4 linked regions of the Arabidopsis thaliana genome follow. The protein of the gene in region 4 interacts with the protein of the main gene of each other region in a pairwise test. Each region holds a gene or a part of one and is shown on either strand. Other genes may lie near its edges.

The links.
Region 1: the proteins of AT2G05330 (region 4) and AT5G18037 interact in a two-hybrid assay, tested with the Arabidopsis thaliana proteins (one large-scale study listed by BioGRID).
Region 2: the proteins of AT2G05330 (region 4) and KNAT3 interact in a two-hybrid assay, tested with the Arabidopsis thaliana proteins (one large-scale study listed by BioGRID).
Region 3: the proteins of AT2G05330 (region 4) and MYB65 interact in a two-hybrid assay, tested with the Arabidopsis thaliana proteins (one large-scale study listed by BioGRID).

Annotation. Positions count from the first base shown.
Region 1 is NC_003076.8:5,968,225-5,974,654, forward strand, and holds AT5G18037 (NAC (No Apical Meristem) domain transcriptional regulator superfamily protein), read right to left. Parts: upstream 3,343-6,430; 5' UTR 3,305-3,342; coding exon 3,089-3,304; 3' UTR 2,877-3,088; downstream 1-2,876. Other genes in the region: AT5G18030 (SAUR-like auxin-responsive protein family), read left to right, coding at 303-569; AT5G18040 (target of trans acting-siR480/255 protein), read left to right, coding at 4,732-4,828, 4,998-5,398, 5,491-5,751.
Region 2 is NC_003076.8:8,732,820-8,741,224, reverse strand, and holds KNAT3 (homeobox protein knotted-1-like 3), read right to left. Parts: upstream 5,282-8,405; 5' UTR 5,018-5,281; coding exon 4,337-5,017; intron 4,062-4,336; coding exon 3,941-4,061; intron 3,853-3,940; coding exon 3,668-3,852; intron 3,591-3,667; coding exon 3,459-3,590; intron 3,381-3,458; coding exon 3,244-3,380; intron 3,150-3,243; coding exon 3,110-3,149; 3' UTR 2,624-3,109; downstream 1-2,623. Other genes in the region: AT5G25230 (Ribosomal protein S5/Elongation factor G/III/V family protein), read right to left, coding at 1-602, 678-746, 818-1,516.
Region 3 is NC_003074.8:3,599,398-3,608,116, reverse strand, and holds MYB65 (myb domain protein 65), read right to left. Parts: upstream 6,082-8,719; 5' UTR 5,912-6,081; intron 5,769-5,911; exon of another isoform or gene 5,588-5,768; intron 5,234-5,587; exon of another isoform or gene 5,127-5,233; 5' UTR 5,062-5,126; coding exon 4,690-5,061; intron 4,571-4,689; coding exon 3,562-4,570; coding exon of another isoform or gene 3,536-3,561; exon of another isoform or gene 3,469-3,535; coding exon 3,188-3,468; 3' UTR 2,945-3,187; downstream 1-2,944. Other genes in the region: AT3G11450 (DnaJ and Myb-like DNA-binding domain-containing protein), read left to right, coding at 715-2,658. UniProt on the Arabidopsis thaliana protein: Transcriptional activator of alpha-amylase expression that binds to 5'-CAACTGTC-3' motif in target gene promoter. In vegetative tissues, inhibits growth by reducing cell proliferation. Promotes the expression of aleurone-related genes (e.g.
Region 4 is NC_003071.7:1,936,105-1,942,918, reverse strand, and holds AT2G05330 (BTB/POZ domain-containing protein), read left to right. Parts: upstream 1-3,448; coding exon 3,449-3,553; exon of another isoform or gene 3,554-3,585; intron 3,586-3,758; coding exon 3,759-4,301; 3' UTR 4,302-4,342; downstream 4,343-6,814. Other genes in the region: SCRL15 (SCR-like 15), read right to left, coding at 1-112, 293-362; AT2G05320 (beta-1,2-N-acetylglucosaminyltransferase II), read right to left, coding at 5,611-6,814. UniProt on the Arabidopsis thaliana protein: May act as a substrate-specific adapter of an E3 ubiquitin-protein ligase complex (CUL3-RBX1-BTB) which mediates the ubiquitination and subsequent proteasomal degradation of target proteins.

The sequences.
Region 1 (6,430 bases), on a different chromosome or scaffold from region 4:
TTTCGTTTATTGGCCCAAACTCAATTAATTATGTCATCAAGACAAATTTCATTAATGCTTCTTTTCTAGATTGTAAAGACAGAACCATGTGAGCTCTGTTCTAGTCTGTCCCACGCTTCAAGACCACAAGTTTCAATGATTTTTTCAAAGAGGTTTTAACTCCTTCATTGATCTTTCTATATATACACACATAAACACATTCGTTCTATCATCAACCAACAACAAGCAATATATCCAATAACTTGAATCTTTTCATCCATCTTAATAAGCTTCAAAAACCTTTTCGTACAAAAATAACAGATATGGCTTTGGTGAGAAGTCTATTGGGTGCAAAGAAGATTCTAAGCCGCTCCACCGCATCGGCGGCACCAAAAGGGTTTCTTGCGGTGTACGTAGGAGAGAGCCAGAAGAAGAGATATTTGGTGCCGCTCTCATACTTGAGCCAACCTTCATTTCAAGCTCTTCTCAGTAAATCCGAGGAAGAGTTTGGATTTGATCATCCAATGGGTGGCTTAACGATCCCTTGTCCTGAAGATACCTTCATCAATGTGACTTCTCGGCTCCAATGATCATGATGATCCGACATTTGGTTCTTCTGAGTTAGAGATAGACTTGATCCTTGTAAATAGATGATTTTTTTCTTTCCTTTTTCTCTTTCTTCTTGAAAGAGTTGTTCTCAAAGTTTTGAAAGTGGATGCCATTTTTTATTCAATAGACACGAGATCATGGTCCATGTTAATACATTTTGGATCGATTACCGGAAAAATAAAGGACAACGCCGACTGAATAACTATTTTAATTATACTTTCTAAAATCAAGTGAGAGCATTATTAATCTTCTTACCCACTGTCTTAATTTAGAAAAATTCTTTCTAATTCACTTTTCACACTATCTCTTTTCAATTTTACCCTTTTCTATTTACTATTTTCATTTATACCCTCTTTAAATTTTAATGACCATTTTACCCCTATTTGTAAATTGATTTAGGTTAATAAAATGAAGTATTAATATTTTTCGCCTAAAACATTCTAAAATAAAATTTCCCGCCAAAAAATTTCGGGAAAAAACTTCCCGCCAAAAATTTCGTGAAAAAAATTTCCCGCCAAATTTTTTTTTCAAAAACATTTTTCCCGCCAAAAATTTCGGAAAAAAAATCCCGCTAAAAATTTTCTCTGAAAAAAATTTCCCGCCAAATTTTTTTTCGAAAATATTTTCCCGTAAAATTTTTGTTTTTGGCAGGAAATAGATTTACAAGGGATTTTAAAAGGGTTTTAAAAGATTTACAAGAAATTTTAAAAGGGTTTAAAAGATTTACAAGAGATTTTAAAAGGGTTTAAAAGATTTACAAGAGATTTTAAAAAGGTTTTAAAAGATTTACAAGAGATTTTAAAGGGCTTTAAAAGACTTACAAGAGTTTTTAAAAGATTTTTAAAGGGTTCGAAAGTGTTTTAAAAGATTTACAAGGGATTTTTAAAGAGTTTTAAAAGATGTACAAGAGTTTTTATAATATTTTAAAAGAATTTATAAGAAAAACTTTTAAAAATTCTTGTAACTCTTTTTAAAACCTTTTGTAAAGGTTCACAAGAGATTTAAAATGGTTCAAAAAGAGTTATAAATGTTTTAAATACTTACAATTCTTTTTTTTAAAAGTTAAAAAATGCTTGTAAAGACTTTATAAGAGTTTTAAAAGGATTTACAAAGGTTTAAAATCCCTTGTAAATCATTCTTTGACACTTACTTATGCTTTAAAAACGATTGTAAATCATTTTAACCCCTTTTAAAATCCCTTGTAAATCATTCAATAACACTTACTTATGCTTTAAAACGATTGTAAACCATACAAACACTTTTAAAATCCCTTGTAAATCATTCTATGCCACTAACTTATGCTTTAAAAACGATTGTAAATCATGTTTTACCCTTTTATAAGCTTTTAAAATCCCTTGTAAATCATTCAATGCTTCTTATTTATGCTTAAAAACGATTGAAAATCTTGTAAAACTATTGTAAAAAGCTTTAAAATGATTTACAAAGATTTAAAAAGGTGTTTTAAAGTATTTACCTATGTTTTTAAAGACTTTATAAAGATTTTAAGAGGTTTTAAAATGATTTACAATGGTTTTTAGCAACTACCAAAGCTTTTAGAAAACTTTACAAGGTTTTTTAAAGAGTTTTTAAAAAATTTACAAGGTTTTTTAAAAGCATTTTTTGGCTGGGAAAAAAATTTTACGAGAAAAATTTTTGGCGGAAAAGTTTTTTTTTGGCGGGAAAAAAAGTTTGCCGGAATTTTTTTTTTTGGCGGGAAATTGAAAGTTTCCAAGTACTTGTTATTATTAAATGAGGGTAATTTGGTCATTCTGTTCAAGAAAAAAGATATTTTTAAAAATAAATAATATAAAAGAGTATTATGGCAAAAAGGTAGTCAAAAAATATAGTTTTGCAAATCTCCCATTAATTTAACCAATTTCTTATCCATTTCGTAGGCCAAAGTTTCTCTTTTTCCTTCATAGGCATGGATGGGCCTGATCATTATTAATATCTCATATATTAGATGAGATAATCTCTTTGATCCTCAAAACAAGAAAATATTTTTTCGTTTGTGAAAACAAGAAGGTGAGCAGTTACAAACTCCTCATAAAAATAATGATCTACATGTCTTTAAATAAACAAGAATATACGAGATTTTCCTAAAGTTTTTATGAGGAATTTAAATAAATTATGCAAAGGGAAATATCAAACTAGACACAAAATTGAAGTAAAATAAGATAGAAGTAGAAGTTATTATCCTCTTCACTGAAAATTTACCAAGACACATAATCATGGTCCTTTAAGGTGGCAGAGAACTTGAACATGGAATAATGAGCCACCGTTTTCGAGATAGTATTCTGTCATGGTCCAACCACTGGCTTGTCTCTCACCTTTGACGTAGAAACTTAGACTTCTTCCCAATCACTGCACCGGTATCTTCCAACACGACATCACTCAACTTCCCATGGCCTTTCCAACATCCATCAACCGTCTCTCCTTTGACTTTGCGGCTGATGCGTTTTCCAGTAACGTTTTCAGAGAGATGATTCACTTTCACGAACTAGAACCATTCATTAGGTTCCAAAAAGTTAGTCTCGGTGTGAGACAACCGCCACGGCTCTTTGGCATAGATGTCAAACTTGTCTTCTAATTCAAATTCTTTATTTGATCTTTTGGTAACCTTAGGCCCGATATAACGGATGATGAGTTCTTGGGCAGAAGGATGAAACCAAAACCCAACATGTTCCTCTTTATCGTAGTACTTAACCATCGACATATTCTTTTCTTGTTCTATGAGACAAAGAAAACGCAAATCAGACAAAAAGTTAAGGATCTATATATTATAGCAATAATCCAAGGGGAACAACAAATGATCTTTAGAGCAAAACTGAAAAACAATAATAAACGCGTTGAAGACTTGAAACTTTCAGGTAGACAAATAGAAAAGGTGATTTCGTATATATATGTGGATTTTAAGGATTTTTAATATATTAGGAAAACGATTCTTTAAAAAGGAAATATATCCATGTAATTCAAAGCCAATATTCTTAAAATTAGATAAGTAAGCCAATATCACATTTTTTCTTTTCAAATTTGTAATGTTGGTTTTAGCGTATGATATTTTGTCTACTATTTTCTTTTTAAACTTATTTTGTCTTATATCTTTTTACAAACTAAAAAACAAGATTATTCTTTTACTTATCTAAATAATGTTCAAAGACTGGAAGATTTCTTGCTCTTCTGATATGGAGAGATACTTGTATTAGTACTTGAAGAAGCTTATGCCTCAAATATTTTCTTGCTCTCCAAAAAATGCATTGACATGATCGTGATCGGTTGCACAAAAAATGGTATCCACTCTCTAAACTTTTAGAACAAGTACTCTTTCAAGAAGAAAGAGAAAAAATCTATTTACAACGAATAAGTCGATGTCTAACTCGGAAAAACAAAATGTTGGATCATCATCATTGGAGCCTAAAAGAAAATTGTTGTTAAACTATAATTGTTGCCCTTAAATAAACAGGCAAAAACGATGTTGTTAAAAAGACTTTTAAAAACATTGGCAATGTCATAAAAACGGCAACGTTTTAAGGAAAGTTTCAAACGTCGTCGTCTTGAGGACTAAAGTTGAAGTCTTAAAAAGGCGACACGTTTCGGGACAAAGCTGAGGGGAAATCTTCGCGACGACTGTGAGAGTTTGTTTCGCGAACATTCTCTGAGTTTCTCTCGACGCGACGGCGATTGCGAATGTCTTCTCCTTCTGATTCTCGTCTCTCTGTGTCTCCGGTAATTTCTCTCAATTTTCTCTCTCTGTTGGATTCTTTTAGCTTGTTTTGGATTTGTTACCGATTCTACTCCGTGACTTGGCCTTTCTCAGTGCTATTAGTGAACAGAGATAAACTTTAGGGTTTGAACTTTTTTTTTTGGATGAATGATTTGAATCCTTTTTAACGTTAGAGTTGTTCTTTGTTAATGGAAGCTATCATTGTTACTTTGGTTTACTCTAAAGCTTCTTGTTCGACGATTTTTCCTCTGCAACTAGAAATGGTTGTGTTTATGTCAAAACTTGAAACCATGTTTATGGTTTTCGCTAGTTAGGTCTTGTTTTTGTTTTTCCTTTTGCCTTATCTGCTTGACTCTACTGGATTTCTGAATGTGTTCTTCTGCTGGATTCTACTTGAAACCAGGGATAAGTAATCGAAGATGAATATGATTCAGCGATTCATGCAATCTATGGCAAAGACGCGTGGCCTCTGTCATCCAGATTGCGTAAAAGCAAGTAGTGAGCAAGAAGATTACGGTAAATGAATCAAATCTTGTTCTAGAGAACATTACTTTATTCGCATCGTTAAGAGATACTGTGATTGATTTTAGCTGATAGTAGTTTACTCCCTTTTTAATATAGTCTAATCCTTTGAAAGAGTCATATGAATTGACTACAACATTTTCATTTTTTTTTTGTCTTGCAGATGCGTCTCAGCTCAGTATTTGGTGGATAATGCTGGGAAGGAAGACGACCAGGGAGAAATGGATGAACCAAGCTCTCAGTTCACTATCGAAAACTTGCATCAGTATATGGTGGAAAATGTCTGGAATAAGAGGTAAGATGTGCAGGGAGAGGGAGCAACCACTCACTGTCAAAGACTGCCTTGAATGTGCTTTCAAGAAAGGGCTACCGAGAAGAGAACATTGGGCACATGTGGGATGTACATTCAAGGCTCCCCCATTTGCTTGTCACATACCCCGCGTGCCCATGAAAGGAGAAGTGATTGAGACTAAGAGTTTGGATGAAGCGTTTAAGCTGTTGATTAAACAACCGGTGGGTGCAAGACTCCATGTGTTCAGTCCAGACCTTGATAATGTTGGAGAGGTAAAGTGTTGTGAGATAAATTTCGAAATTTTCAAAGATCAATGACAAAGTTTTGATCTAATCTTATTCAACCTTTTTTTTTTGTGTGGTAGGGAGTTTACGAGGGCCTGTCTAGCCTGTCTCGTAAGGAATCACGCTATGTTGGACTTAGGGATGTCATCATAGTTGCAGTGAATAAGTCCGAGGGAAAAACTGTTGCTACTGTGAAGATATGTTACAAGAAGAAGACTTCATTTGTCAAAGTGTGTTTGAGCCGTATGTTTGTCCAGCTTGGTGGTGGCGAGGAGTCTCAGGTGAAAGAGCCAACAGGTCTGCTTGTTGACTTCTGTATCCCACGCTTATCTATCAACTAAACAAGAGCTGAGATCTTGGAAAGTATCTCCTAGTTGTGGAACCTCTCTATGTTGGTCTCATTTTAAGAATGTTTTATCAGACTTATTTTCTGTTTTATGTATTTTGAAAACCGTATGCTTGTTGTGAAACTCTGTTTGTGGTCTCAAGTTAAGTTTGTTTTATGAGACTTTAATCTGTGTCAAGAATTGAGATGTTGATCGCTACTTCTTGGATAAATTATATCTATAAAATTTAAGAATTGCATTTGATGGAAAGTCTTATATGTAAGCAAAAAAGATTACTGGAAGCCTCAATGGCACCAAAAGGATTTTCTTGCATGTCTTTGAAACTGCACTTGCAAGCATTTCGTTATGTAATATCTTTAGCTAGATATTGGGGTAATCTGAAGATAGCGGTTAACAAGAGATTTCCGGAAAGTGATCGGGATTTTGAACTCGACGTGCTACCATTGAGGCATGGATCCGGATGATAAACAGGGAAACATATACTTTTCTAACCATGATTTAACTATAATGAAAGGTTCTTCAAATGGTGTGGTCTTTAGTTTTCAAAGATCATTCCAAAATGTATTGACATGTCGTGTCGGTTGCACAAAAATGGCATCCATTCTCTAAACTTTTAGAACAAGTACTCTTTCAAGAAGAAAGAGAAAAAAGCTATTTACAATGAATTAAGTCT
Region 2 (8,405 bases), on a different chromosome or scaffold from region 4:
TTGGTTCCAGTGTATGAATGGTCCACTTTCCTAGCTGCAGCCTCTCTGGGTGAAGGAATGTGCTTTACCAACATATCAGTGAACCCTGATGCCGAACCAAACACTGAACTACAGGCTAACCTAAGTAAAGGTCTGACGTTCAGCTTATATGCACTATTACTCAGAGTCACTCCTAATTCTGCAAGGGTGGTCTCTACACTCTTCTTATGTTCACCTATCACTTGGCTGTATATCTTGTATAGAGGCTCCAGAATAAACTGAACAAATGCTCTTTCTCCACCACCTACTGGAGGACTTGTATTGAATACCCTAGTATCAGGGTGATAATATACATCTCCCCAAAGTCTAGATGCAAACTTATCCACGTCCATGGCCACACCATGAAGCTTGGCATACATTCTAGCAAAAGATTGTAATGTGAAGGACCATCCGGCTGTACCACTGGCGAAACATACATTTCCAGCTGCAGGGTCTATAAGAGGTAAGTCTGCAGCATTTGTTGAAGCAGCAGATATATGGTTATTAATGACTTCAATTGTATACCTCAGCTTGTAGTAAGCATCCCTTGGAGGTAGTTTGAGCTCAGTTATGAGCCTGTCAACCTGTTGGGCAGACAAAAAGCAAAGGTCAAGCAAATGTATGAAAATATAAAATTTCACACTTTAGGCATGATGTACCTTATTGATCACAACAACAATAGGGAGATGATCCTGGATTGCATGCCGTATAGCTCTCTCTGTGTTTACCTGAAAAAAGATTAATAGCGTTAGTACTACAAATAGTATACTTGAAAAAAGAGAGAGTAAAGACTAGTTACCATGACTCCTTGAGCAGCATCAACAATGAAAACAGCACCATCAGCAAGTCTTAAAGAAGCAGTCATTTCGTCAGAGAAATTGACATTTCCAGGTGTATCCATGATATTGCACAGGTATGATTTGGATCTACTGTCCTCAAGGACAAGAGACATTGGAACCGCCTTGATAGATATATTTCTCTCCTGCTCATCGACTCTTGTGTCCGTATATCTCATATGCTTGTCGTTTTCAGCATTAAAAGTAGACATACGATGCGTCTGCTCTACCAACATATCCATGAAGACAGTTTTGCCGTGCTGGAGATGCCCCACAAGAGCAACATTCCTCACAAGCGCAGGATTAGACATGAGGCCGATAAGAAACAGTGTTGACACATACGTTGTTGTTTGATCCTTGATGACCCCCACCTCAAATCTAATATCTCTAACGGGTTTGATAATGGGTTGCTCAAGAGACTGCTCATCTTCATCCATAACCAAGGTCTCAACATCCTCACCATAAACCTCCTTAGCAATAGGGTAGTACTTCTTATCCTCAGGAAGAACAATATTTTGGTTCTCATTGATAGTGGTAATCCAGCCATTAGAACCCCCAGGCTCTTGGAGATCTTCATCTTCTACACTATCATCACTATCTCTGTCAGATTCAATCTCAGGTCCAATATAGTTACCACACTCACCATACAAGCTACCATCCATCTTTATGTCACCTGTCAAAAAGGAATCTCATGAACTAGCAATCAGAATTTTGTAACGGCCAAATCAAGCACAAAATGTCAGAGACGAACCGGTGGGGCGAGAGAGCGAGAGGCGGTGCGAAAGCTAGAGGAAAATGCGGGTTGGCTCCGTGATAGGGTTTGTCGCCACTGTTTCTGCTATGTGAACGGAGTCGTCGTCGGAAGATTTAAATAGGTCTTTGATTCAAAATAGCGCATTTTTAGATTGATGGGCCAGGTCCAATATCTGTCAATCGGCCCAATTTTGTAAATTGAAACGTCTAAAGTGTAAACCAGAACGTAAACCGGGTTGTATATTGAAAGCTGCAATTTGAAGAAGAAACAAAGCATAACAAGATGGTGGTGGTTATAATGATTACATGAAGACAGTTCTTTACCCTACAGTTGGTAAAAGACCTAATTTGGCTTCTCTAGTTGGTGGGTGATAACGGTAAACTTTTGAATATCACTGTGAAGCATCGTCCAAGAGACCAAAACTCCGATTATTATTTGAATTTAGAAGACTAACACATACTAATGTTAGACTTCGTTTATCAAACCATTTATACAATCCAAATGACAATTCTCTAAGTTAACAACTTTGATGTTCATTACAAAACTACTTATATGAATCTACTTTCCTAGATTTAATCTAATGTACTAATGGGCTTCTCATGAGACTAGTCTTTGAACTTTGTATGGTCCTCTAATAGAGAGGCGACCAAAATACTTAAGGACACTCTAATTATCTTTGTTAATGTGTGCAGAATCTCTCCGTGATCGATAGAAAAATCTCGCCGAAAACTTACAGTAACTTGTGGCTATCACAAACGTGACAAACGAAACAACAAGATGAGGATAAACAAACAATTTTGACTAGAAAAAAGAACACGTTTCAAATTATTACAATTACAAAAGTACGCAGCAAGCTACGTTATGTAAGATGGGGTATGTTTTATTTTTTGTCGTCATCTACCATGTATAATGTCTTTTACTTATCAAGCCAATATCACGAGTTGGAATGTGACATCGCAATAAATACTACGAACTAAGCGGATAAGAATCATAAGATGGGTTAAGTACGGTTAATGCGAAACATATACTGTATAATAGTCACATAGATTAAGCTAACCAAGTGGTGCGATACAAATTAACATATGCACCTGGTCAATGCGTAACATATACTAGTAGATTAAGAAAACTTGTGCATCCCAATGTTCTCCTCTCTCACTATCTTTATTCACAAGATATATTATGGATGATGATGATGATTATCTGATGGTTCATAAAAAAAAAACTCATGCAGACAAACAAACAAAAAACATTAAACAAAAGCCTGCATCTTCAGTTTTCATATTTTCTTTTTGGTTTGTGTGCTACTTAATAAAATATATGGGCATAATCACATAACCAAACTACGTTACTATGTAATTGCACAAAAAGTTACTTTCTAATACTGTCCCCTCTCTCTGTATAATCCAAACTCCTCCATAAAATTCTCAACTTTAAATCCCTAAAACCCTGCTTTCAAATCCCATCTTCCACCTCCCCAATTCACATCATATGTTTGTTGTTTCTACGCGAACCGCTCTCTTCCGCTATTGTCACCTGCATTGCTTTCATCAGACAAACAAAAGTTTCAGTCTTCTTTGAGTCCGATCCATAAGTTTTTCGGTTATGTTACAAGACTATATTAAAGTATAATAATACCTTTTGCGTTTGTTCTTCAATACAGTGGAAGAAGATGGATTGCTATGCCAGTTCCTCTTTCTCTGATTGATGAACCAATTGTTTATCTGTTTTAGCTGCAAACCTGTCTCTTGCACCAACCTCGCCTTATCTTCCTCCTACAAACCAATATTTGGTTATGGCTCAATGAATGAACTTGAAGAAGTTATAAAGAGATGTTAGATGAGTGAACTCACAGTAGGGTAAGGCCATTTGGAATGAGATTGCCACCAAGCTTTGAGAACAGAGGTGGTATCTCCTGGTAACTTCCCAGCTCTTCTCTTCCTTAATATCTCCTCTCTTATGTCTACTATCTTCTCCTTGTAACCCTTTTCATCAACAAGACAAAGCCCTCTACATTGTTAGTTCATGAACTAGTTCAAAGAACAAGTTTGTTGATTATTACCTGTTTGAGTTCATGTTTAAGTTCTTGTCTAACTCTTTCCATCAACGACCTCTCACTCTCAGTAGGAATCAAAGGACCAAAACCCAACACATCTAATCCCCCATCGAACATATTAGCATCACTCTCTACTTGTTCATCTTCATCGTCAGACATTGTTGCTCCCATCCCTTCTCCAGGAGACACTCCTAATCTCACCAATAAAACACAAAACTTGTCAATGTCATAAAACTAACTATTGGATTCATGAGCTAATCACAGGATTCATTTTCTCACCTGTTAAGCTTTGAAGAGACTGCTCAATCTCCCAACAAGCCATCACAGCTTCCATTGCATGAACACGCACATGTTGTTGCAATTGCTCTTTAAATGAACACAGTAGCAACACATAATGTGTCTACACCATAAAAAAAACATTAATCAAACACACAATAAACACAAAGAACAAAATTTGTATTTTCTTCATCATCATGACCATTATTATATCATAAGCTCTTTTTTTGGGATTTTAGTCTTGTTTATCCCTAAAAACACAAATCTTGATTTTAATATTTTAAGATTTCAAAAATCAAGAAACCTAAGTCGGTGTGTATTATTAAAATTTGTGCTAAGTATAATTATGAAATCGTTAATTATAAAATTATAGAACAAAAAAATCTGAAATTTATATACCATGAACTGGTCAAGTTCTTTATCGTCGCCGACGAGACCTTGAGCGGCGGCGCCTAAAGCTGAGTATTTAGCGACGACGTGTTGAGACTGAGCAAGCTGAGCATCGATTCTCGGAAGCTGATCAACCGGAGTCGCGATTCTCAAACAAGCAACGTGCGCCGACAAAAGCTGCTCGTAAAGAGGATGCGAAAGGATCTCCGCCTTGTGTCTCGCATTCTGCCAGCTCACTACTCCATCCGCCGCCGTAGCTCCTCCGCCGTCGTTTTTGTTTTCTCCACCGCCGGTTTTCATCTCTCCCTGAATCATAGTGTCTGCTCCTCCGGTGACATCATCGATCCCATCTCCGACTATGGAAGCGTTGTTGTTGTTGTTTCGTTGGAGGAAAGAGGAGGAGCGAGATAGCCACTGGTTAGCAGCGGCGGCGGCGGCGGCGGAGGAAGGAGAATCGGAGCTGCTTGCGGTTGTGGTGTTAGCGGTGGCTGTGTGGAGGTTGAGGAAGTTATTGTTGTTATCTGAGGAACGAAGAAGCGCTGTGTTTAACCAATTAGGAGGCGGTGCTTCTTGGAAATGTTGTTGCTGTTGCGGAGGAGGAGGAGGCGGTTGCGGAGGTGGAGGTTGGTGTTGGTCGGTGAAATGATTGAAGGAGAGGTCTTGTGAGAGATGATTGTGATGAAACGCCATCGTTTTGGTTTGACCTTTTTTTTTTTGTTCTTTTTGAATTTTGTTTCCTGTTTCTGAGAGGGAAAGATAAAGAAAGAAGGTGAATCTCTGCTGCTTCTATGACGACGATTGTTTCATATGTTTCAATTATCACCAAAAAAAAAAAAAAAGACACAGAAACTTTTCTTAAAATTGGAAAATAATTGGTTTTTGTGGTGTGTATGTATGTATCTGAGTATATATGTGTGGGTGTGTTCAGAGTTGCACAGAGCTGAGAGATCGAGAGATGACCATTTATTCTCATATTTATTCTTTCTTATTTTTTGCAACCTATTTATCAATATAATTGAATTATTATATGGAATTTATTAGATAAAAAAATATTCCTTCTCTATTCCTTATTATTTAATTTTTTAGAGGAAAAAAATTGTTTTAAAAAAAATAATTTTTAAATTTTCTATACATTATTTATTAGTTATTATTGATAAATTTTTAATTTTAAGATAAATAATTGAATATCATTGGTTTAGAATTATAAAAAAATATAAATCACAAAAGATAATATGTTTATAATTAGTTTTAATATGTTTTTTAATATATGTGTTTTTTTAGAAAATTAATTTAAAAAAAAAAACTGAAAGATAGTAAAAACAAAACATTTTTTTAAAAATCGCTTATGAGAACTTTTATTTGTTAAATATTTTTCTAAATGCTAATTAAAAAGTAAGACAAAAATTGATTTTTTTTGTTAAAGAAAACAAAAATTGATTTTTTTTGTTAAAGAAGACAAAAATTGATGTCACCTCGTATAATCAAATCAACTGATAAAATCTTTTTTGATTTAACTAAGAATTTGTAAACTTTCTTCTATAGTGATATTATTATTGGGGGAAAGATAAAAATCCGACATCATAAATTAACCATAGAAAGCAAAAGTATTTAATAAATCAGTACGCTACATAATAAACAGTGCATTTGAGAAAATAAGATAATTTAGTTATGGTTGACAAAAATGTATTTTTTTTTCTTTTCCAATCACTTTGGTCCACATAGACCTAAGAAAGAATAAATATAAAAGTAAGTGACTAATGAAACAACAAATAGAAGATTAGGTCACGACAGAAAATTAATTAAAGAAAGTAGGTCGTCATGGTTCGATCTATGTCGTTAAATTTTAGTGGCGACTGTATTTATTAAGATCTGACGGCTGCGAAAGGTCGTTGCCTTCTTCGACTGTGTTTGATTTTTTTTATTGTTGGGAATAATAAATGTATTTTTCCTTTTTAAAAAGAGTTGCTACGTGTTGTGTTTTAAGACGCAACGTATCTATGATATGAAGAAGCGCGTGCGTTTCACGTTCAGATGTTAGTGTAATTTTATGGCACTATGAAACAAATTTAACTTATTTATTTATACAATTATTTTTTGCTTCACGCCTTTACCTATTATAAATCCTTCTCGTTTTATGTAATGAAGTTACGAGAAATTATTGAAAACAAAAAATTTAATCATGAATTTAAAGTTACAATTTTAGGTTAAAGATTTGAAATAAAACAATCTTTTAAGAATTTATTTATATGGATTTAAAAGACCTAAGTACCAGAAAACAAATTAGCTTATTTGTTTATGCACACTATTTTTTTGCTTCACCCTTTCACCTTTTTAAAATAATAATAATCATTTCATATAATATAATTTGAGAAATCACTGGTTCTTTAAAATCACATAATTTTCTGAAATCACAGTTTTTGGTAAATATAATTTTTAGATTTTTTTTGGAGTGAAAATTTTCGTACATGCTACGAAACAGAAATTTGGTATAAAATTTGATGGTAGTATATTCGATCGTCACAATAAAAGTTATCGTATATTTTTTTATTTATTTGAGTTTGGTTAAAAACTTAAACGATCAATTAATTTAGAGATTTAAACTTAATTGTGATGAATAGCGTCCTTTTGGTAAATTTTTAGCATTTAATAAGAAGTGAGACGCAAATAGGTCTAGGTTAACTCATACTATAAATGTGTGTTAACATAGTCACATATATAACTTCATCTTTGGGCTGGTTCTTATATTATCAAAACCGTTTTTATTTAGGATTTGAATGGTTATGGCGGTTGGGGCGGATAAAACCGTCAACGGATCATACCGTTTTTTATTTATTATTTATTAATTATAGTTCGTAGTGATCTAAAAAAAATAGAAGAAAACCGCAACGGACCATCTGCAGACCATTTTTACATACAAATAAACTTGGTCTGCAACGGTTTTTTGTCTGCCAGATAAACTAAACCGCAAACAAATTATACCGGTTTGTCCACACTGCATCCATCCAAAGTCTTATTTTCAAGAAACCACTTCATCAAATGTGTCCAATCATTACATAAATCAATTTATTTTATTCACAATAGTTATGAATGTCGAGCCACATGTCATCTTACTCAACCAAAAAAACGCCGAAGTTGTCCCAAACTACACGTGTGAAACGCTGAATTTTAAACATGCACGATCATACATTACATATTATATAATTTTAGTATAATGTATGTCCATGTAGGAAAGTTTACAAAAATAAAAATTTATATAGTTTTAATCTTTTCGATTCATCATATCTCCGATTTTAATATGTACGATAGTAAAAGTAATTAGATATTCTAGATCAATGATGAAATCAACAGTTGAAGTACAATTTTCCTAGTTAGAAAAATATAGAAATTTTCTTGATGTGTATAATTGTAATTACTGATGATAACACATGTAAGTTTTATATGGTGAATTTCATCTCTCTATAATTGAATAACACATAAGTTTTTTTATATTCTCTCACATCTTTCTAAAACAAGGCATTATAGTTTCACAATCCAAAATATTTTGTGCCGACGACAAGTATGTTTAATTTTCTTGGTACCCACTACAGTTTCTTCTAATATCGATCATCATTTTTTGAGTGATGTTTACGTCCTTCTATTGATTTATATTAATTCTAGTCAGAAATGGTTTTATTATTGAAATATTCTCCATCATCTACTGAATATTCCTACAAGTGAGTCATACTTAGGTTTATTGAGTTATTTGGATGCAAATGGATAGTAACCGGAAAACTAATAAACAATCCCTAAACAATAAGCAACCCACAAATCTAAAGCGACGCGATACGTAACAACCCCCGTAAATGTTGGAGCGTGATTTCCACGTCACTCCGAGGAGCGTCAGAAAATCATAATCAGCTAAAATAAAAGATATTCATAAATTAAATTAAATCAATTGCTTGTCGTAATAACATTTTTATTTGTAATGTAAATTTTATTTTCAACTAATCATTCACTAGTATTTATAATTATAAGAGATGAATAATTTAACATGAGAAATACAAAAACAAAAAGAAGAAGATAACTCAAATCAAATACT
Region 3 (8,719 bases), on a different chromosome or scaffold from region 4:
ACCAAACGGGTATTAATCTGTGATAGACCATTTCTTCTTCTCAGATACTTTCCTCCATCTGGAAATCGTTGCCGCCGCTATTTCCTCAATAAACCAGATTAAACCTTCTCTTCTTCATCATCTTTCTCAACCGCCGTAGGTTGGAGGGAAGCTCGCGCGGCAAGTAATAGCCGGAGCAGCTTCCGACCAACGGATCGGGGTTACTAGGAGCTCAGTTTCTGGTAAGAGAATCGGTTTAATCACTGTTGTTTTATTACTTATGGTAGCTGAGTGGTTTTCGAATGTTATCTGATTGATTCGTGAAATATCTTAAGATTGAATAAGATCATCTTTTGTTTGTGCATAAGGGGAGGATAAGCTGATAGTAGAAAATCTAGATTAGACAATTGATGGTACTGAGTAATAACTAATAACTAACCTTAGGAGTATGATTGGTTTCTAGGGTTCTTATGAGATGTATTTTGCGATCATGTTCCTTTCTTTTTCGTCATTTTTATGGAGTTTCATACTCGGAGTTGTATTAGTAGCTTTGATCAGTGTCTTGCGAAAACAATGTGTTTTTAAACCAGGCCTTGTGAAACCATTAGCCTTTGTGTAACATCTGGAGTTTATTGTGCTGTTCTCTCGTTTACTTGGTTAATGCTTAATCATTGCGACAGAAATCAGGGTGGATATTCACTTGGAGTAAGGTGCAGCTCGTATAAACTGTTCATCATGCCGAGCCGGAGAAGTGAGTCTGCTATTAGGCTAATTACGTACTCTGAGGAGCTTGTGGATGGAAAACCGTTCTTTGCTTTTTCCAATTGTCTTCCTGTGAAGGCTTTAAACCGTGAACCTGCTGGTCATGCCTTCCATTCTGCTGCGCTTAAACTGCATGGTTGTGCAGAAGAACCCACAGACGATGAAGGTGGTGATAAGAAAGTGGGAGATGATAAAGAGAAGGAATATGTTCCTTCATTCAACTCGTATGCCAACAAAGGAAAGAAGAAGTCTGGTACCCAGCAACAAGACCACTATGCGTTGTTGGGTTTGAGCAATCTAAGATATCTTGCGACGGAAGATCAGATTAGGAAAAGTTATCGTGAAGCTGCATTGAAGCATCATCCTGATAAACTCGCTAGTCTCCTTCTGTTAGAGGAAACAGAAGAAGCCAAGGAGGCAAAAAAAGATGAGATTGAATCTCGCTTCAAAGCGATTCAAGAAGCATATGAGGTATTGATGGACCCAACTAGGAGAAGAATTTTTGACTCCACTGATGAGTTTGATGACGAGGTCCCATCGGATTGCTTGCCGCAAGACTTTTTCAAGGTGTTTGGTCCAGCGTTTAAGAGAAATGCTAGGTGGTCAGTGAATCAGCGTATTCCAGATTTGGGAGATGAAAACACACCACTTAAAGATGTTGATAAGTTCTACAACTTTTGGTACGCTTTCAAGAGTTGGAGGGAATTTCCTGATGAAGAGGAGCATGATCTTGAACAAGCAGATTCCCGTGAAGAACGTAGGTGGATGGAAAAGGAGAATGCAAAAAAAACTGTGAAGGCTAGAAAGGAGGAGCATGCTCGAATCAGGACTCTTGTTGACAATGCGTATAGAAAAGACCCGAGAATTGTGAAAAGAAAAGAGGAAGAAAAGGCTGAGAAGCAACAGAAAAAAGATGCAAAAATTCAGGCCAAGAAGAAGCAGGAAGAGGACGCTGCTATTGCTGCTGAAGAAGAGAAAAGGCGAAAAGAAGAAGAAGAAAAGCGAGCAGCAGAATCTGCACAACAACAAAAGAAAACTAAGGAAAGAGAGAAGAAGCTCTTACGCAAAGAACGAAATCGTCTTAGAACTCTCTCAGCTCCTCTCGTGGCTCAGCGTCTGCTTGACATCTCTGAGGAAGATATAGAGAATCTATGCATGTCACTTAACACCGAGCAGTTGCAGAATCTATGTGATAAAATGGGAAACAAAGAAGGACTAGAATTGGCAAAGGTGATCAAAGATGGATGCAACAGTAGTAGAAATGATGAAGCCGAATCTAAAGAAAAAGTAAGTAAGAAGACCAACGGTGGCACAGAGCCTACAACCCGAGTTTCACAGTTAGATAGTAGCACTCAGAAGAAACAACCATGGAGCAAGGAAGAGATTGATATGCTGAGAAAAGGAATGATAAAATATCCAAAGGGGACATCGCGGAGATGGGAAGTTATTTCAGAGTACATTGGTACAGGAAGATCTGTAGAGGAAATTCTGAAAGCAACTAAAACAGTTCTCCTGCAAAAACCAGATTCAGCTAAAGCATTCGATTCTTTCCTCGAGAAGAGGAAACCCTCTGCTTCAATCACATCCCCTCTCTCCACAAGAGAGGAGCTCGGAGAATCTCTACCCACAATGACGACCACAACAAATGCAAAGCCCTCTAAAGAGACTGTTGTGGGGAAAAGCTCGAGCAGTCAAAGCTCAGACAACAATGGTGAAGTAGGTGGAAGTTCAGACGCAGATAGTTGGTCGACTGTGCAAGAAAGAGCTTTGGTTCAAGCTTTAAAGACATTCCCGAAAGAGACAAGCCAAAGATGGGAGAGAGTAGCTGCAGCTGTCCCTGGTAAAACGATGAACCAATGCAAGAAGAAGTTTGCAGAGCTTAAGGAAATCATTAGAAACAAGAAAACCGGAGTATGAGGTAAAATCATTTCGGAGTCCCATGAGAATTTTGGGTTTTAATCCTCTTGGGGCACCGTTACTTTGCGAGAAGCAAGACCTAAAACTTTTTTATTATTTGTAATGATTCATTTCCCTTTGATGTCTCTATATATTGAGAGTGCTGGAGCCACTATTATGGAGTATGTTGTTTTTTACATAATCTTATGTAACGTTTGATTAGCGTCTAGTTTCAAGTTGTGAAATAAAGCGCATCGCTCATGCTGCTGTGTCTCCGGTCCCAATTAGAGGTTGGGCTACAATAAGCCCTAATTTTGATTTGCTTCTTTACAATCTAAACAAAACCAATCGAGCTAGTATGATGGAAGTAGCAGGAACAAGAAATGAGTATATATAAATGCCTTCCAAGTATAAGAAAAATCAGGTGAAGAAAATCCAAATTTTTACCAAGTCCACAAATCTTCTCTCAACTATAACAAACCACCAAGTCATGTAAGCCAGGTGCATGAAAATACAGAAAGATTCAAATTGTGTGATATGGTTCATTTTGTTACAGCGACCAAACAGGAGGCATATTGGTCCATCCATAAGACCCGACGCCTCGTGGTGCTTGACCTGATGATGACCCAACAGTCACGTAACTGTTCCCAATGTCGTCACCACCAAGAAGTGCAAGCGCATCACTCATGCTGCTTGTGTCACTAACAATGCCATAACAGCCTTGGTCAAGCCAGCTCGACGCAAGTAAAACATCAGGCCGTGTTATATCAACTCTCTTTGGTTCCCAAACCTGATCCAACTCTTCTGTCTTTACAACATTCCCTGCAAAAGCTTCATATACGAAAACCAACACAGCTGCATAAGAATCAATATGGAACAAGAGTAGATAAGATACCAATCAACAAGTAACTTTGATCAACTCACCTGATGAAAAACCACCTGCACTAAGTTGCGAGGGACTTGTAATCTCGGAGCGACCCAAATACTTTTGGGAATCTTCATATTCTCCTGATTTGATCAGGTTTTCGCTGCCACGTGGTACATTCTGAGTAACATTGGTCGTGCAAGTAGTTGAACTGAAACTCTTCTGGGGTGATGACATCAACAAACTGTGCTTCGCACTAGTTTTGATCTTGGCCTCATGAAGTAACATATCTAGTAGGCCGGTGTCGCATGAAGAGAAACAATCTGACTCCTCTACCTGCGATGGTGGTGGAGATTGAATATAGGCATCAACAGAGTCAAGGAGATCTGAGTGTGGAGGTGACGGAGTCGTCTTCCACTGATCAAATGCACTAGTTTCTGAATATTGGAATGAAGGGAGCTCCAGCTTCACTGCCCCAAACAAGGGCTTAGAAGTAGGATGCATGCCATACGTAACTGTATGGCTATCAGGAACCATCATCATATGAGACGAATGTTGGTTTTCATAAGGATGATGATCAACATCACAAGGCGAGATACTGCAAGATCTGGGATTCTTCTGTACAGCCGTATTCTGAAAGTGTTCCGGCGATTGGAATTCATGCTTTATGTTACTGCTGCACATGGGAAACCGAGATCCAGATTCCCAGATTTGCTTTGGGGAAGGCAATATTGGTGGCATGTAGCTCTCATACCGGGAAGAACTTGCGCCAGTTCCTAGCATGTTGCATGCAACCAAATCTGATAGGTCAGAAGCGGCAGGTAACAAGCTAGCAGCAAAATTTAGATCGTCAAATAAGACATTATCTTTAGAATTCCCCAACTGCAAGAAATCTTGATGTCTTCTTCTTCTATCTACTCTTATGATATTACTCTTTGTATACTCTTCGCTCCAATGAAGGTCATCAACATAGATTTCAGGAGGGTAAAGTGGTAAGCCTGCTCGTTGTCTCCTCTTGATACGAGTGTTCCAATAATTCTTTATCTCATTATCTGTTCGACCAGGTAACTGGTAAACAAGAAGAAAACATCATACCAGAGATTAATTAGTCTTTAGGCTCACAAAGAATATCAAAATATGAAAATGGACCATGATCAGGTAGCTTCCGCAGTTACAAAACTACTTACATGTTCAGCCATCTGTGCCCATTTATTTCCCATCTTGGCGTGCATTTCAACAATGAGCTGTTCTTCTTCTTGGCTAAATGCTCCTTTCTTCAAGTTTGGCCTCAGATGATTAGCCCATCTCAGACGACAGCTTTTACCACAACGGGCCAGGCTAGTGTGTTTCTGCACAGCATTCCAGTTACCCTCGCCGTGCTTCTTTACATAATCAATTAAAATCCCGTCTTCAGTTGAAGTCCATGGTCCTTTCTTCAGGACACTTCTTTTCCCTCTACTTCTGCAGCCATTGCTAATACTATCAGGAGCTGGTGATTCATTATGGATGCTGGAGTGCATACCATCATCACTATCAGCAGTCGCCGTCGTGTAACTCATCTCTTTCTACTTAAAGCAAGACAGACTCCAGCAGTTCAATAACAATTTAGACATCAAGCTCCAACCTGAACCAATTAAGAGGAAAAAGAGACAAATTAATATTTCAGCCAGCATTCATGTAGTTATCAACAAAATAATGACATGATAAACTTGTAAAAGGAGGCGATAATTGAAAAATATGTCTAGTAGATTCATCATATCTACCGCTGAGATATGAGTTGATACTAGGCAACAACTAAAAGTCTGTAATGAAATTTCTACAGAACACTAGTGACACCATTTTGACGAATAGATTTCGTATTTGAATGAAAATCCAGAAATGGAAACCAGAAACTAGCTAAGCACCATTTTATAGCTCTGATACTTTGAAATGACTTCTGTATCAAATTCGCAATCTCTAAATCTTAGTTCCAATTTCGAATACTAATAAATCGATTTTCAATGAACCAGAAATTACGATTGAACAATCAAAATCCATATATACAAGAATCAAAAAGCAGCAACTAAAGGTACAACAAAGACGAACCCTAGCTGAGGTAAAAGTAAGCTCTATATTGAGTATCTAGCAATCTGAATACAATCAGCAAACCATAGACAAATACGAAGTCGTCGAGATCTACAACATGAGACGAAATCGGAGCTCGAGTTTGAGCTGAAGATATCCGATTTGGTTATCGGAAAACACACAAATCGTAAATTTGAATCGGAAAAACGTTAGCTAAAAATATCAAGCTCAACAACTGATTAGAGAGAATGAAAACAGAGATTGAAGATCAGAGATCCGTGGAAATGGATTCAAGAGCTAGTAACGGAAGAACAATCTAGAAGAAGAAGAAGAAGAAAATATTACCAGGAGTGGGAGAGAGATAACGCGGGAAAAAGCTCGAGAGAAGATATCTCAGAGAATCGACAGAGACAAGGATGGAGAAAGAGATCAAAGTAACAGAGGAAGAAGATTCATCAGAGCTGAACAGAAGTGGAAAAAAGAGATGAATTTAGAAATAAACATCAAAATATTAAAACTCTCCTCACTTAATTAATTATTTTGCTTTTTATTTCCGCGTTATAAATAAATTATAGAATAAAAAAAACACTAAGAATCCAATATCTTTATTAGAAAATCAATTAACTCAAAAAAAATCCCGTATCTTTTTTATCAATTTTAAAATTTTATAAAATTCAAAGATTTTAGGTTTAAAAATAATAATCGTAATATTAATATTTACGAAATGTATCATTTAAAAATAATTATGGATAAAGGTTTGGTATAATCGTATACGTCTTGATAAAAAGGAACCCACCAAACATAAATTGGAATGTTGTACTTTAATTTAATGATGTATAAATGAGCTTATTGACGTAGATACGTTGAGATTACGAGAATCCGCACTCATATTAACTACTGTACTAGTGTCATTCATTCTTTGTCAACTAATAGATTATGACAGTGATTCTCTAGCTAATCAGACGATTGGCTTGAATCTGTTTCATGTCACAGCTTCTTCACTATATAATATACATAGTAAATATTTGTTGTCAGAAGTATATAATGATGAATAATTTGGTTCTTATTAAATTATAAAAAATAAAAATTGGTTCTTTTTTTTTTTTTTTTCCTTGGGCTAAAAGCCTAAAACCCAAAGATTTTTAACTCAAATTGAGGAACTGCTATAGTAGGATCCACATGTGCCCATATTGATTTCGGCATCGAAGAAAAACAAAAAATTGGGCTTTAAAAGTGGATCTTCATCATCCATGAAGGTGGTATATCAATTCATCTACCGACATTTGTATTACAAAATATTATTGAGATAGTAGTAACCAATATGTTAAAATTCAACCATAGCACTGTTTTCCATCTAGTTAACAATTAGCTAAAGCCTTTGAGGAAAGAGGAAGGTGAGCGAGCGCGTGGACCTCGTGATCCTGAATAGCTCACGTATTGTTTGTGGCCTGAATTCTGGTTATGTACATAAATAATGTTGTATGAAGATAAGTACAGGCCTGACGCAAGCCCGACAATACAAGAAAAATGATAAAAGAGAAAGATGATAAAAATGCTAATGTACCATATATATGATCCATTGCACCAAACCCACAAAGATAAAAAGGTGCTTTCGGCTTTTTGGCTTATGTTTTGAGACTCTAGAAATAAATATATTCTACTAATAAGTGTGGTAATGTATTGTTCAACATATATCTTTCAACGCTGCCGAATTTGAATTCGAATTATGTTTATTTATAGTCTTATAGAAACTATTTGATTCAATCAATTAGAATACAAATAATTGGTTTTTAAAAAGAAGTTACATAAAGTATGTGAAGAAAGGGATGGAGGGAATAATAATATAGAAATATGGAAAGCAGTGTAACTTGGTAAACGTACGAGGAACGTAAAGAGATCAGTTCCACTTCTCCGTGTCTCACGCTTGTCTCTTCCCTCTCTACCTTTTCTCTATTTCGTTTCACACCTTTTATTTCATCTTAAAACTTGCTCACTAGTAAAAGAAATTCTGACGATTTTCAGCAAACCATTACTGATGATTAGTGTTTGATCTTTAAATTCGCTGACTAAATAGTTGGAAATTTATTTGACGGTATAACTAAAAATTATCTAACCAAATCAAATATTTAAAATCCACCATATAGAGTAACGAACTTCGACAAACTTAATACATTTCGATGGATTCTTTAGCATGAGTGATCTGGTAATTTGATATCATAGTTGATGGCTTGAACACAAGATAAAACGATTTATACAGTCTTTTGTAGACTAACAAATATCTATATATGGGTACGGTTATGGCAAATGATATGGTTTGAATTGAATATGGATGACAAAATTGGCCTCTATTAGACGTTTGTACTTTGTACTAATGACCTGAGTATCTGAGATCTCAGTTAACGTATTTTTAATTTGTTAATTATATATATTTTATGCACATCATTGGAGAAAACACCAAATAGGCTCTTCTTTATCGCTTCATATATATAAAAGTCTACATCTATCTCTTTCTAGGTCACTAGCTAGACTCTAGATTAAGGATTGAAATTAGGGTTTCATGTTTCCAGCAAAATGGTGCCGTCTTGAGTCTTGAAAAGATCCAAGACAAAACCAAATCACTACATACATCCCTATCATCAACCAGCTACTGTTCGCTGTTGGAGCATCATCAAGATTCACAAATCATCAAGTATTCGTGTAAATAAACCCATTTATGATTAGATTTTTGATGTATGTATGAGAATCTTGATGATGCTGCAGCTGCAATCAGTGGCTTACACATAGAAACAGGTTTGTGTTGATTGGAAATTTCATAGTCCAATCTTTTTGTAGGAATTCACAGATCGGAGGTATTTCTTGGATATAGCTCGAGAACTTTTTGGTATGTTCATTTTCTCTCTATCTTGAATTCTTGTAGATGTTTTGAACCTCTCAAATGATCTTAGCTTTCCGAAAAAAGAATCCAAATTATTTCATATGATCCTAATTTTTTTCTGGTTCATATATAAGTAAGTATCTCTAGATCATACTGATCCATTATTTTAGGATTTTTACTTCTCTCAGCTTTCATCATAATTTTTGTTTTCTGATGACTTCAGTATATATGTTTGAGTAGATTTAACGACTATATGTTATAGTGATGCATTCTTGCTG
Region 4 (6,814 bases):
ACGTCATATATATGCCCTTTGATAAGGTGGTCTACGCACGTCTTGTTTCCATCAGCACCACATTTAACATCGTACCATGTGATAACTTTACAATATGGCACCGGTTCCACCTCTATGATTTATATCAACCACAAAGATTGTCAAAACTATATATTGATAATACGTCTTAGATTAATAAACTAATGATGAAAGAAGATTAGCATTTTTATTTTACCACAACGATGCTTGCGATGTAAATTTTATCAAGAAAGAAGAAAATAGTTGTAACAATCGATATCATTATATTGCTTACCACATTTGACATGGCTTATGTCGAGGAACATGAAAGTACAATAAACCACAAACAAACTAGCAAATCTCATGATTGATAATAAAATTTTACAAAAGCTTTTGTGTTTTCTTTAGTCTTGTAATGATTATAGTTTTTATATCAACATAAACAAACAATAGAAATTTATATTAATTCAGACCAAAAACGAAAAACAGGAGATGTGTGGGGGCAAATGGAAAACAATGAGATAACAAAGCTTAATGGCTATCTCTATATATGAATTAGATTATTTACTATTTAAATTGCTTTTTATTTATTTCCTTTGAACTAATTAGGGACATCTTAAAATCTTAGGGAAATAAATCTATCTATATATACTAATATATCTCTCTAATTAGAGAAAAAAAAATGACAATCAATTGAAGATCTTCAACCAAAACTACAAGAATTACAACAACCTTTCTTATATAAATATTAATAAGGAGAACTTGCAAGATCAAGTCTAGTCTCGCTTTCAAAAGCCCATGAAAACAATTTCAACATAGCCCATTTTCGTAATTCATTTGGCCAACTGTACTAACATGTTCTCATCAGGCCGTGCAAGACGGCTTGGCGAGTGCAGGTGAAAAATACATCATTCGTGGCGCCACAATACCAACACAACTGGTGAAACACTATAGTTAGTATTGGGAAGTTGTTGCACATGTAATTATCTGACACTCTGTTTTAGTATAAATCGTTTTCCTTTTTGATTTATCTTATTGTGTTTAACTTATTGTAATCATGATGTTAATATAGATTTCTCTGATTTATTTTATTCATACGGTGGCATGATTCATCATCAGACTCATAAGTATTTGAACCATCTGCCTAAAAAGATTTACATTATAACTAACCTTTGATTGGTGTAAGGAGATGATACAGAAGTGACTTTAAGATGGAGACGATACATAAGTGACTTTGAGATATGTTCTTTAGCATTAAACCTGTTATTCAGCTATGAAATAAAACAATTGTTAGTTATAATATCTATATTAAGGTGAATATATATTTTTGTATTAAATTAGATAATGAACTCTTATCTTCTTCTTTTTTAAAAAAAATAATAATATTAAATTAGATTAAAAAAAAATAGCGTTTTTACAACGAGTGCAACGTATAACAGTAGATTGAAATCAGAATGTAGAATGAATAAGCTTTGTGATTACTTTGAAGCCAGCATTGGAAGCAGGCCTCATATCAACTGTCCTTCTGTCGTTGAACGGTCCTTCTTATCTTCTTTTTGTTGATAACAGTACTTCAGGGAATGAATTCCCAAAGCTTGAATATATTCATCTATGTACAATCATCTAAAGATTAGACAAATTGTTTTGCAAAACAATCATCTTTGTTCTATAAAGAACAACCTACTACAATTAAAATTATAAGTTTCTTTTCTGTATTAAAAATACTGGAAATAAATTAGTTTTAGAATCGGAATGGTCAATCGGTTTAAATATATCCATGGGGTTACGATTCATATTTAAAATGAAACTATATTTACAAACATCAACAAAGAATCAAAATCACTTACACATCGATTGACCCAAAAGTATATTCAACTTGGACCATTAGCGGAAGCTATTGACATGTAGAACCGATTATAATCAGATCATGTTCTTCAAACTGAAGGAGAATTTTGGTTTCCAATTTGGATAGGAGAGAATTAGTTTCCAATTCATCAGTTAGATAACTTTTTCGAGTATTTGTTATTAATTAATAAATAAAATGATGCAAAGAAATTTAAGAAATAATAATGTTAATATAAAACAAATCTAATTCAAGAAAACCATATAAAATACAAAATAACATTAGAATACATAATCACGGAAACTTTACGACTAATTAACATTAGATTGAAAATTTTAAACTAACTCAGAATATTTTAAATAAAAATATTATTAAAAATAAAAGAAAAAAAGAAATAAGTTTTAGTTACCATGGGACGAGTTTATATGTGAGACAGATTTATATGGTGAGATGAGTTTGGATGAGAGAGATTTTTTGTTTGTCTTTTAAAAAACAACACTATAGTATATCAAAATAAGAGTTAATCTTCTTTCACACCTCTAAATGTTAATCTTCTTTCACACCTCTAAATGTTAATCTTCTTTAACACATCTAAATATATAATTGTAATAAAAAATTATTAAATTACCTATGTTCTAAGGGTAAAATTAAAAAATATAGAAATTTTAAATTATATAATTTAAAATACAAAAATTTGTGAATAAAACATAGGGTATACGGGACATATACTAGAAGATAAAATAATATTAGACTTACTAATATCATAAACTTATGACTTAATAAAAACCGTACACAACTTTATCAAAAATTATTAATCAACACAAACAACAATAGACATTGTACACAACAAATTCTTCATTTTGTAAAAATTTAAAATAAACAAAAAACTTAACCCTTGGTGTACCACGGGTCACATTCTAGATACGTATAAAATTAGGAGATACACACTTTGTATATAGATGCGTATAATATATATGCTTCCGGAACTATACAAAACCATATAGAAACATACTAATATAATCACTAAGTGTAAATAGATATAAACAATGAGTTTTGATAAATTGAATATCTAAGATCATTATTTAAATATAGATGATATTGAATTGAAACATTAAATTAATTCAAAACGAAAATAATCAAGCAGCAGTGTACCGCAGGTCAATATCTAGTTTGTTACATTAGCAGTAAATAGTCATACTTTATTTCATTATCTATAAAAATTGTACCCAAAAACAAATTTAGTTAGAGAAAGCGAGATAAATGGTAATTGTTGGTGTGCATATCAATTGAAGATTTCAGAAATTTTGTGACCCAATTTCAATTTTAATCCGATTCGCCAATGGTATTTTGGATAAATACTTTGAAAGACCAAGGTTTTTTGCCAAATATTCCAGAAAAAAAAACTAATATATATTTGATAGGTCTTATCCATTTCCAAATCTTGAAAATTGGACGCAGATGGGAAATATAAAAAGTCATTTCCAAAGTCTTGAAAATTGGAAGCAGATAGGAAAAGTAAAAAGTTATTTTGACCGTTTTCAATTGTCATTATCTTCTCTATATAATCCACCATCCTTTACAACCTCAAATATACGTTACATTATTGATATGGCAACACAAACCAACCAAGACCATTTCTCTGGGGACTTGCGAAGATCTTGGCAGAAAATTGGCAAGTTGACGTACGGCTCAAGGCAGTGGATAGTGATGATGGTTCAATTATCTCTGCCCAAAAAGTTATTCTGGTCTCTTCTTTTTTCATCTTCTCTTTATTGATATCATCATCTTATTCAAGAATCAATTAAATTTAGAAATGTTAATGTTTAGTGAGTGTTCCTTTTATGTGAAGTTTTTTTTTGTTGGGTTGGTGTGGTTATTGTAATGATTCTCTCAACAAGTATGTTTGGGATTTGAATAGGCATCAAGATCGGCGGTTTTGAAGAAGATGCTAGAATCAGACGAGTTCAAGACTTCGGCTAAGCAGGTGGGAACAATCACTCTCTTAGAGATGAAACAAGAAGAGCTAGAAGCTTTTGTTGAGTTTCTATATAGTGATGGTTCTATGCTTTCTTCGAAAGTGAAGCAACATGCTCGGGCACTCTATCGTGCGGCTGACAAATACGAGATTCTCCGACTACGAGAGCTATGCAGATCTGAGCTTATATCTTCTCTGAATTCGACGAATTCTCTTAACCTTCTTGAGCTCGCACAAATCCCTTTTGACAAAGTCCTCAACGATGCAGCCCTTAGTTATATTAAAACAAATGAACTTATGTTTCCTAGCTTTGATGAGTTCAAGTTGTTCGTTGATAATTACCCAAATCTTGCCGTGGAGGTAATGATGGCTTCTCTTACTCGGACTCCTAGTACAAGCTGTTCTAGGTGTGGTCTCATAACCTATCATAATCAGACTGGTACAAGCTGTTGTAGTTGTGGTTTTGACTATCCTCGTCGCAGCTAGATGAATCACAATGTAGTTTTTGTCGTATCAAATTAATAAACCATTTTTTATCGTTTTTGTTTCCAAAACTTACCAAGTCTCGTATTAAAATGATCGGGTTTTAGATTTATCTTTGTCTAATATTATTACATCTCTTTTCCTATGCATGCAAAAATAAGAAAATATATCGATTGTAAACCCAAGTAAATTGTTCATCTTAAAGATATTAGACTATGGGTACCAGTGCCCTTTGACTAGAAAGCGTTTAGACCATCTCTAATGGTGGTTTTCTAAGGGGCTTTAAATGTATGAGTCCGTAAAAAAAAGCTCAAAATAAATAAAAAATGCCAATATTGTTAATAGACATCCTTAATCTTAGGAATTTTTGGAGTGAAAAAGACTCATATGTGGCTTTTTCTAATTGGTCCGTTTACTGGAGTGAAATGTGTTAACCAACTTAAATATCCAAAAACTCGAAAAACATCCACCGATGTTCTTAACTAGCTAGGCCAATACAACGAATTTTCCCCTATAACGATTTTGATTATTAGAAAAAATATAGTTAAGAAAAATATAAGTAAGTATAAAAAAGGTGATTAATTTCGTTTATAGACATTTCAAAATGATCTATGGTAAAGTTGAATATCTATGAAACGTTCCAAAATTTCCCCTCACTAGTACATTTACAAATGAAACAAAATACAGAACCAGCTTATCTATATTCTCTAACTAATGTTGAGTTTAGGAGCATAATCACTCATAAGCCAACTTTTTTTTTCTCCGTCGACCGATATTAATTATGCAAAAAAAAAAAGTTATTTGTAACGAATATTGTTTACATAGGTAATATGATGCGGTTCGACACGAATTTTTTGGTTAAAGAATCCGTTTTAACATTTGCAGTACGAAAAATTAAAAATAAAGAAAAACGCCAACTTTTGTGTGAGTCATAGCAAAAGGTCTTTGTGGGTTTAGTTTGGGCCCAACTCCTATCATCTAAACCCAAGCACATACACAAATTTACCTGAGAATTTAAATTCCTTCAACTGGACCTTCTATCACCGTCCGGCTAAAAAAAAAAAGAGCTTTTGCAGACCAGCTTAATACCAAATCTGAAATCCCTGTACTGCCTTAAGATTTCATCACTTTGAATCTATTTTTCAATAAGTAAAAAAGGCGGTAAAAGCTCGTATAGAAAGTGAAATACTTCAGGTGATACAAACAAGATATAACAATCAAAAATACAACAAGCTAATTGAGTCACTAAGCACATAACAAGAAAGCAATCCCTCAATTATATTACCACCTTTACTTGGAAGTCTCTAAAGTTTCATGGAGATGCACTGCTACTGCTGTAACGATACATAGTGGCAAAATCCAAACATAAATGTCGGTCCCTATCATCGCCCCAACCTCCCCAACCTTCGAAACCGGCTTTATAACCCGCTTGATGCTTATACACCCGAACTCCCCATCCTTCTTTTATGTTCACAACTTTATCTGTTTCCTTAACTTCTATGTTTACGACCCCATTATCGATGCAATCACCCTCATCTCCTCTACCTTGATGCAACCCACATTTTCCAAAGTGTACCGCACTAGTCCTAGGCCCTCGCAATGTGTACACCGGGGAACCAAACGACGGGAAAACCGTTGCCCACATCGTTATATCCCAGTTGTAATCATCAAAGAAACAAAACTCTCTTGCCTTCTGATGAATATTCTCCCACACACTTCTATTAAAAGAATACCCAACATTTCCCATTCTCTCTGCAACCAAACTTTCAAGCCCTTCTCCTCTTGACTTCACATCAGACGGTGCTAAATTAGCAGCAAAACAGTCAGGACACTTTGCGGGTTTCAGCCTCGTAAGAGTCTGTATGTTACGATAGGCATTAGGAAACAGAAAATGATCTTCTTCAATGAAAAGGATATGCCCCTCATGTCCTTTAGTCTCTTCCAACCCATCCCATACAGTGTTCATCATCCACCACCAGTGATGCTTCAAAGATACAATCTTCGGAGACCGATGATTCCCATACTGATCAGGATTACCTTCACAATGCCCCTTTGCCTCATCACCCTTGTTCTTACAATCATTCAGGGTCACACCCGGGAAGCTAGTACGATATATATGAGGCGAATAAGGCGAGAAAATCTGTTTCACTTGACAAAACTTAATACTCTCCACAATCCTATTCATCTCTTCAAAGTAACCATCATGACTAACAATCAACAATGTCTCACTTATACCTTTAACCTTCGACAAACTTTCCACTGTGACTCGAAAATACTGAGCCCGATTATGCACATACAAGACGATAACCACACGATCTTTTGCCAAATCCGGGAACAGATCCGTATTTCTAGGCGAAAAATGGTTCCTTCTATGCAACCTTAGAGACATTCTATTACCTCTAGCTACACTTAGCAATGAAGCATTAAGCTTAGCTTCCAAATCTTTATCTAAACCATCCAAATCATCGTCAATAGAAGAACCATTCAAAGCAGTTCTAGGTACAGACACCAACATC